Oryctolagus cuniculus: one gene and its partner. The protein of the gene in region 2 purifies or fractionates together with the protein of the main gene of each other region. This does not show direct contact. Links are inferred from orthologs where the notes say so. Each region holds a gene or a part of one and is shown on either strand. Other genes may lie near its edges.

Region 1 (3,651 bases), on a different chromosome or scaffold from region 2:
CATTCACAGTACATCTCTGGCTGACATTCCCACGTGAGGGTGGCTACAGTGGAGGACAGGGAAGTCCTAGACAGTTCTGCACAGCTGGGGCACAGAATGTCAAGAAGGGAAGAAGCAAAAGGGGCCAAAACAATGCTGAGGCCAGCCACAGCTTCCAGGGTGACAGCTGAGGAAAAGGACGGTGGGTCTTGAGAAGCCATGGTCAGACTGTTAAAAGGGGTAGGGTTAGCGATAAAAAGACCAGAGCAAAATGGCCTAGCTATTCCCATTTCCTTCACTTTCATTTCTATCAACTTATTTACAACTTATTTTCAATCCACAGGACTTACTCTCAGGTGTCGATTTTCTTCTGAAAGCTTCATCATTTCTCCCTGAAGTCTTTTACACTCTTCCATGAGCTTCCTTGTTTCGGTATCATTGAGGGAAACACTGTGCGGTTTTGGCATGGGTCCATCTTGCTTCGATGCATTCAGTGGAGCAGCTTTGCTAGGTTCCATGTCATTCTGTATTACAAAGATATCGGGAATTTTTAAACTAACCAAATATAGATTTTAAGTAAATAAAAATATACATTTCACATCCTTCTTTTCCAAAAATTCCTTAAAAGTTTTGACAATTTTTAATTTCATTAATAATAACTTTAAGTACCACATGTATGGTCATCTGTGAATAATTTTAAAAAGGACTAAATCATTAGATGTCAGCATTTGGATAGTCAAAACAAGCAGCCCACTCCCTCCTCTACTCCCATAACTCTTGGCACTTACCTCCACCATAGCACTTATATCATAATTATATATTTTTGAAGTTGCTTCCTACAATACTTCAAAGGCTGGGAGGGTAAGAGCCATTTCTCTTTGTATTTACCCCTATAAACCCAGCACTTTGGCCAATGGTAGTTATTCAATGAAAGCATGCTGAATGACTGATGCCAATCAAAATCCAAATAATGAAGGTCATTTTCAGTGCTCTGATTCTGCAATTCAAATAAGGTTCTAGGGGTAGGGGAGTATATCGTAATCATTCCAGTGACATTAGGAACTAGCTAAGAAAAAACATTTCAAAGAAAACTAACTGCTATTAGTGGGAAAAAATAACTGGATGGTATAAATACTGAATAAACACAAATATATGGCAAAAAAGGGGGGAGGGAAGGGTGTAAAGAATCTATGATCTAAAACTTGAACATAAATGATTCCTTCAAATTATTAGTAATAATTTGCTTTAATGCATGTGCTTAAATATGGAATACTACACCTCAGTAGTAGTTAATGTATTTTTAAAACTATGAGCGCCCAAACCTTAATTCTTACCAACTCTTAAGCACTTCAAACTAGAGGTAAGGGCCTGGTGACGAGTACCAAGGGCAGTTGCTAAATGGTCCCGAAGCCCAGGGTCTAAAGTGCCCCAATATCTGTCACGCTAGCATCACTTACAAATGCACTCTCTAACAGTACTAACAAGCCTTTTTCATTTACATTTTTACTTGTTAAACGTTTCTTAGATAGACATAAACCTGTTTTAGTCACATATAAACAAAGACATTTACAAAATTAACTTTTACGGTGTCCCACAGCACTCATTTGCAAGATTTATTACAGGCTGCACATCTCAGCAGCAAAATTTATAATACGTATAAAGAAATGGTTTGTTCAAGAGGCAAACTAGTATTTCTTATGAAGACGTGACTTAATCAGCATGCCTAAGTCAGTGTAAAAATGATTCATGTCATAACGAGGTTCTAACACACAACACTGTGTATGTCTGACCTGTCAGTGGATTCTCCCCTTTCAGGTTTCTCAGGTAAGATTTTTTTACTGAAGCCTATATTTCAGTTTGTCCCCACACTTTTCTCTTGCTAGTGTTCTTGTTCTTCACTCTAATCTTCACCATACCCATCTAATCCAACTTCACTATCAAAACTCTGGTTCAGATACATTTTCTTCTCTGCCAATACTCTTTCCTATTCTTTTTAAAGTGACTAAAATTCACTTTAAAATCATTTTCTCATGTGCTCATATTCCATCCTAGTACCAGCCCAACTTATCACAACGAAGGCAGCACGCTGTCTTCCTCTGTAAAAGCAGCAATAATAGTCAACAACATGGCAAGTGAAGAACATTGAGCCTTCAGGCTTTTGCTAAGAATTGAGAAAAAATATTCTCTCACCAAAAAGCTAAGAAACTCAAAGTATATACATGAAGTCAACAGTGAAGAGAAAAAAATTAACTAAGAATCATCAAGGGCTTCCTAAGTGGATCCTTATTAAATAAACTCTTGAAATTCAAGAAAATTTTAAATTATGAGGGAAGGCAAGGAAATCATCCCCCATCATTTCAACAGTGCAGCATATTATTCACATTCCAATATTTTTCATATGCATTTTTATAAAAATCAACACTTTTTACCTTGCGTTTCATTTATACACACATAATTATCATCTTAAATAACGCAGTAGGTCATTACACATTCTGTGGCTTACCAAAATAATTAATACCTTTCATTTTGGTTTAGTGTATTAGAGGAGTCAGTGGTGTAGCACAGTGGGCTAAGCCACTGCCTGCAACACCAGCATATGAAAGTCATCTCAAGCCCTCGCTGCTTCACTTCCAATCCAGCTACCTGCTAACGTGCCTGGGAAAGTAGCAGAAGTTCTTGGGCCCACACAGGAGACCAAGATGAAGCTCCTGGGGGTCCTGGCGTTGGTCTGGCCTAGACACAGCCATTGCAACCATTTGGGAAGTAAATCAGCAGATAAAAGATCTCCCTCTCTCTCTCTCTGTGTGTTTCAAATAAATATTTTTTAAGTTGTTTGTTAAAATAGTTGCTTCTCATTCTTTGGAGTTTTAAACAATACAACATTGAGTATCTTCTTATGATGGTAGAATTAAATTTTTCTTTGTTTACTGAAACCTTTCTTAATGATGTTGTACTTAATTTATAATTATAAAAAAATGTCATAACCAATTTGTAGAGTATAAACACAAGACTGGAATGCAAAGGATATAGGGAAATGTAAACATACCTCAAAACTGAGTTATGGAACAAGTTATACAGAATAGTTGTATCATAATACTACTTAGTCCCCCTACAAAACAGTCAACATACATAGCAGATGCAAATAAATCTAATTTATTTATGCATATTTAAAATATAAGCATATATAATCTGAGTTGGAGGTTAAAGGGGGGAAGGACGAGCTTAGACATTCATGTAGTGACAATCTGATGACCCTGAGGAGAAACACTAGGCAGGTGTGACTTTAAGTATATGCTTCCATTCAGGAGCTCCATTAATGAGGTTTGGCTCCAGGAAAACAGCTTGTTCCTTGAGTTGCTTCAGACTGGTCCAGAAAGAGGAGACTGGTTGTTCTGAGAACCATGAAATAAGCAAACTAAAGGAATTGAGCATGTTGTGACTCTTAGTAAAAAGTGATGCATAGTAACATTGCATTAACATTATATTTAATACAACTTAGAATAAGCTCAAAGGTCAAAGTTGTGCATCAATGAAGACAACTTATCAATCTGTTACACATTTTCCACTATTTTATATTATTTAGCCTACTGCAGTAGCCCTCTATATCTATGAGCTGTACTTCTGCATTCCTTTTCAACAACCATCGTAACTTCAATTCTAATACTACAATTG
Region 2 (3,651 bases):
TCTGACTCCGCTCAGGTTCAGGCTATGTATCTGTTGCCATGACCCTCCCCGCTCAGTCTCAAGAAGCGAATATGGATTAATCTAAACCAGTCATTTAACTTCTCTTGCCAATGACTAGTTTAGGTATGGACACATGCTTGGCTCCAGCCAATGAGAGAAGAAAGGAAGTATAATGATCCACTTCTGAAAACAAATGTCCTTCCTGGCAAGGACAGGAAGACCAGCTGTTATGCAATCTAATAATTTATGAAGCAATTCTTGGGACAACCTTCTGCAAATACTCTCCTACCTAGTATATCCCTGATAAGTATGTTGGGCTCCACAAATTAATGTTATCTTTGTCCTTCTCTTTTCACTTAGATTAGGAATAAAAGATTTTTTTATAGGCACTTATTAGAAGGCATTATGGATTACTCTTTTTTCTTAATGGTCCTCTATTTCAAAACCAAAATGAAGTCCAATACTGACAAGGATTATAGTACTAGAGTTGATTTCCAAACCTGGGTAGAATAGTAATCCAATCAATATGAAAGCTACTACAGCCTAAATCCTTGAGACAAGGGCAACAGTGGAAAGATTATAGCTTTTTAAATCACAGGTCAGAGTAGAATCTCAGTTTTGCCACTTATTATGATTCAGTCAACTTACTTAACCCCTGCGAGTTCACTTGACAAGAACAGTGCTATGAGGACAACGAAGAGAAAGTATGAGGCTTCTAGAGTGACGAGGGCAGACAGCTTTCTAAATAAGCTCAGCACTCTATTCAATGCTCTGAGTTTCAATTCAAATTTAGGGGGCCGGCGCCATGGTGTAGCGGGTTAAGCTGCCGCCTGCAGCACCAGCATCCCATATGAGTATGAGTTCGAATCATAGCTGCTCCACTTCTGATCCAGTTCCCTGTTGATAGCCTAGGAAAGCAGCAGAGGGTGGCCCAAGTGCTTCGGCCCCTGAACCCACATGGGAGACCCAGAGGAGGCTCCTGGCTTTGGATCACATCAGCTCCAGTCCGTGTGGCCATTTGGGGAGTGAACCAGCATATGAAAGATCTCATTCTCTCTTTGTCTCTTTCTTGCTCTGTAACTCTGTCTTTCAAATAAATAAATCTTTTTTAAATTTTAAATTTAAATTTTTTAAAAATTCAAATGCAGTTATATTACTCATTATGAGTTATACAATTTTACACTGATGGCTCTTCCAATCCTTTTTTTTTTGTTAAAGATTTATTTATTTATTTGAAAAGCTGAGCTACTAGAGAAAGAGAGAGAGAGGTCTTCTATCTGCTGGTTCACTCCCTAAATGGCCACAACGGCCGGAGCTGGGCCAACCTGAAGCCAGGAGCCAGGAGCTTCTTCCAGGCCTCCCTCATCAGTTCAGGGGCCTAAGGGCTTAAGCCATCTTCTACTGCTTTCTCAGGCTGTAGCAGAGAGCTGGATCAGGCGCAGAGCAGCCGGGACTTGAACCAATGTCCACATGGGTTGCTGGTGAGACAGGCAGTAGCTCCACTCACTCCGCCACGGTACCGGCTCCCTCTTTCAATCCTTACAACCCTGTGTTCATGGATAATTTGTATTGTGAAAAATCTATGTGTGGATTTCAAAATTTTTCAGACCAAAACACTTATTTTTAATTCCATTTTTCCATGGACCTTTGAAGCCCCCTCATACGTCCATTTTGAATATAAAGAACTTGAAGATCACAGAGTAAGGGACTTGGCTCAGGGTCCCATTAGTTAGATGATAGCAGAGAGGTAGGTTGTAAACACAGCTCTTCTGACCCCAAGACCAAAGCTCTGTTCATTTTGATTCTGTGCTCACAATATTGTTTCAAGTTTTGCCCAAACTACTAACTAATCCATCTCCTAACTATTCTTCATGTGCCCCAAATACAATCCAAATGTTAATCCATACAACACATACAAACTACTCTTTTCGAAATTATTTTAGTTCCGTTTATTTAATTCCTTTATAAACAAACTTTAGCTTACTTGTCTACAAATATATTAAAAAACAGTAAGACATAAGTATAAAAGGAAGTTACGTCACCTTTTCTGCATTTGCAGGCACAATCACCACACACACACACACACACACACACACACTTACATCAAATGCCAAATTAGATTCTTACCTTAGTTAGATCCATTCCGAGCCTAACCTGTGACAAGAGGTGCATGATAACACTCTTGTGCTCCTCCACTGACCCTGCCTCTCCGTCATCATCTCTATCGTCATGCGAATCAAAAAGGTCTAAAATAAAACACATCTTCTTAGGCTGGTATTTAATTGGGCCAATCTGTGCTGCTACCAGTATTATAAATGTTTCTTACAAAAAGAAAAATTCTCAAAGGTCATTACCTGCATCACTTGTTCCATTAGACATGGAGGAATTAAGTGATTCTGTGGTATCTGGACGCTTCATACTATTTCCTGAGCTGCTGTGTGTCAAGACAGAGGCAGATCCAGAAGAACTAAAAACAAAAACATGAACATTAATCACCATCTTCAGCTAAGGAATGCATTTAGGATCATAGACATCAATTTACAAAACTTCTTAAAACCAATAATACAAGTAGGTGACAGAAACGGACTAGAGTCTTACAGTCTGCTGGTTACTGACATATGTAAGTGCTTTCAACCAACTCCCTGTCACCCCCATTCCAAGACTAGAAATAAAAGTCTCTCATCTTAAACTGCCTGAATAGTGTTTAGCCAAGCCATGCTGAAACGCTAGCATAGATACTTTTAAAAATTTACTGACATTTTTACCTCTGCATACAAGTTTAAAATGAGTTCATTTTCTGATTTTGTTGCCTTGTATAAACACACCTATGAAAAAATTTTTCACAACAACTTCTAGAACAGTCTTACTAAGTGCTAGAGCATATCAGGTCTACAATTTTTGAGATCCTTTGATAAAAGCCCACATCAATAATAACACTATTCCCAGTTATTTAAAAAGTTTCCTTGAAAACTACAAAATGTATAAAATCCTATTGCTTTTTCATTTTAGTGATAGAGTTACAGACAGTGAGAAGGAGACAGACAGAAAGGTCTTCCATCCACTGGTTTGTTCCCCAAACGGCCACAATGGTTGGAGCCAGGAGCCAGGATCTTCTTCTGGGTGTCCCATGCAGATGCAGGGGCTGGCCCAAGTGCTCAGGCCATTGTCTACTGCTTTCCCAGGCCACAGCAGAGAGCTGGACTGGAAGAGGAGCAGCCAGGACTAGAACCAATGCACATATGGTATACTGGCCACCACAGGTCGCAGATTAACCTATGGCACTACAGCACCAGCTCCAAATCCTATTACTTTTTTTTTTTTTTTTTAAAGATTTTTATTTATTTATTTGAGAGGTAGAGCTACAGATAGTGAGAGGGAGAGACAGAGAGAAAGGTCTTCCTTCCGCTGGTTCACTCCTCAGATGGCCGCAATGTCCAAAGCTGCGCCGATCCAAAGCCAAGAGCCAGGAGCTTCTTCCTGGTCTCTCACATGGGTGCAGGGGCCTACTACTTTCCCAGGCCATAGCTGAGAGCTGGATTGGAAGAGGAGCAGCTGAGACTAGAACCGGTGCCCATATGGGATGCCGGCGCCGCAGGCAGAGGATTAACCTACCGTGCCACGGCGCCAGCACTCCTACTACTTTTTTTTTTT

The links. Proteins that work in one complex are often made in the same cells at the same time.
Region 1: the proteins of OSBPL9 (region 2) and VAPA purify together in Homo sapiens (co-immunoprecipitation; 5 studies listed by BioGRID and IntAct, counting the BioPlex papers as one, with this or other methods). This does not show direct contact. The link is inferred for Oryctolagus cuniculus from reciprocal best matches to the Homo sapiens genes OSBPL9 and VAPA.

What each region holds. Positions count from the first base shown.
Region 1 is NC_091441.1:67,118,486-67,122,136, reverse strand, and holds part of VAPA (vesicle-associated membrane protein-associated protein A), read right to left. Parts: intron 504-3,651; coding exon 330-503; intron 1-329. UniProt on the Homo sapiens protein: Endoplasmic reticulum (ER)-anchored protein that mediates the formation of contact sites between the ER and endosomes via interaction with FFAT motif-containing proteins such as STARD3 or WDR44.
Region 2 is NC_091438.1:121,155,464-121,159,114, forward strand, and holds part of OSBPL9 (oxysterol-binding protein-related protein 9), read right to left. Parts: intron 2,468-3,651; coding exon 2,355-2,467; intron 2,247-2,354; coding exon 2,128-2,246; intron 1-2,127. UniProt on the Homo sapiens protein: Interacts with OSBPL11 to function as lipid transfer proteins.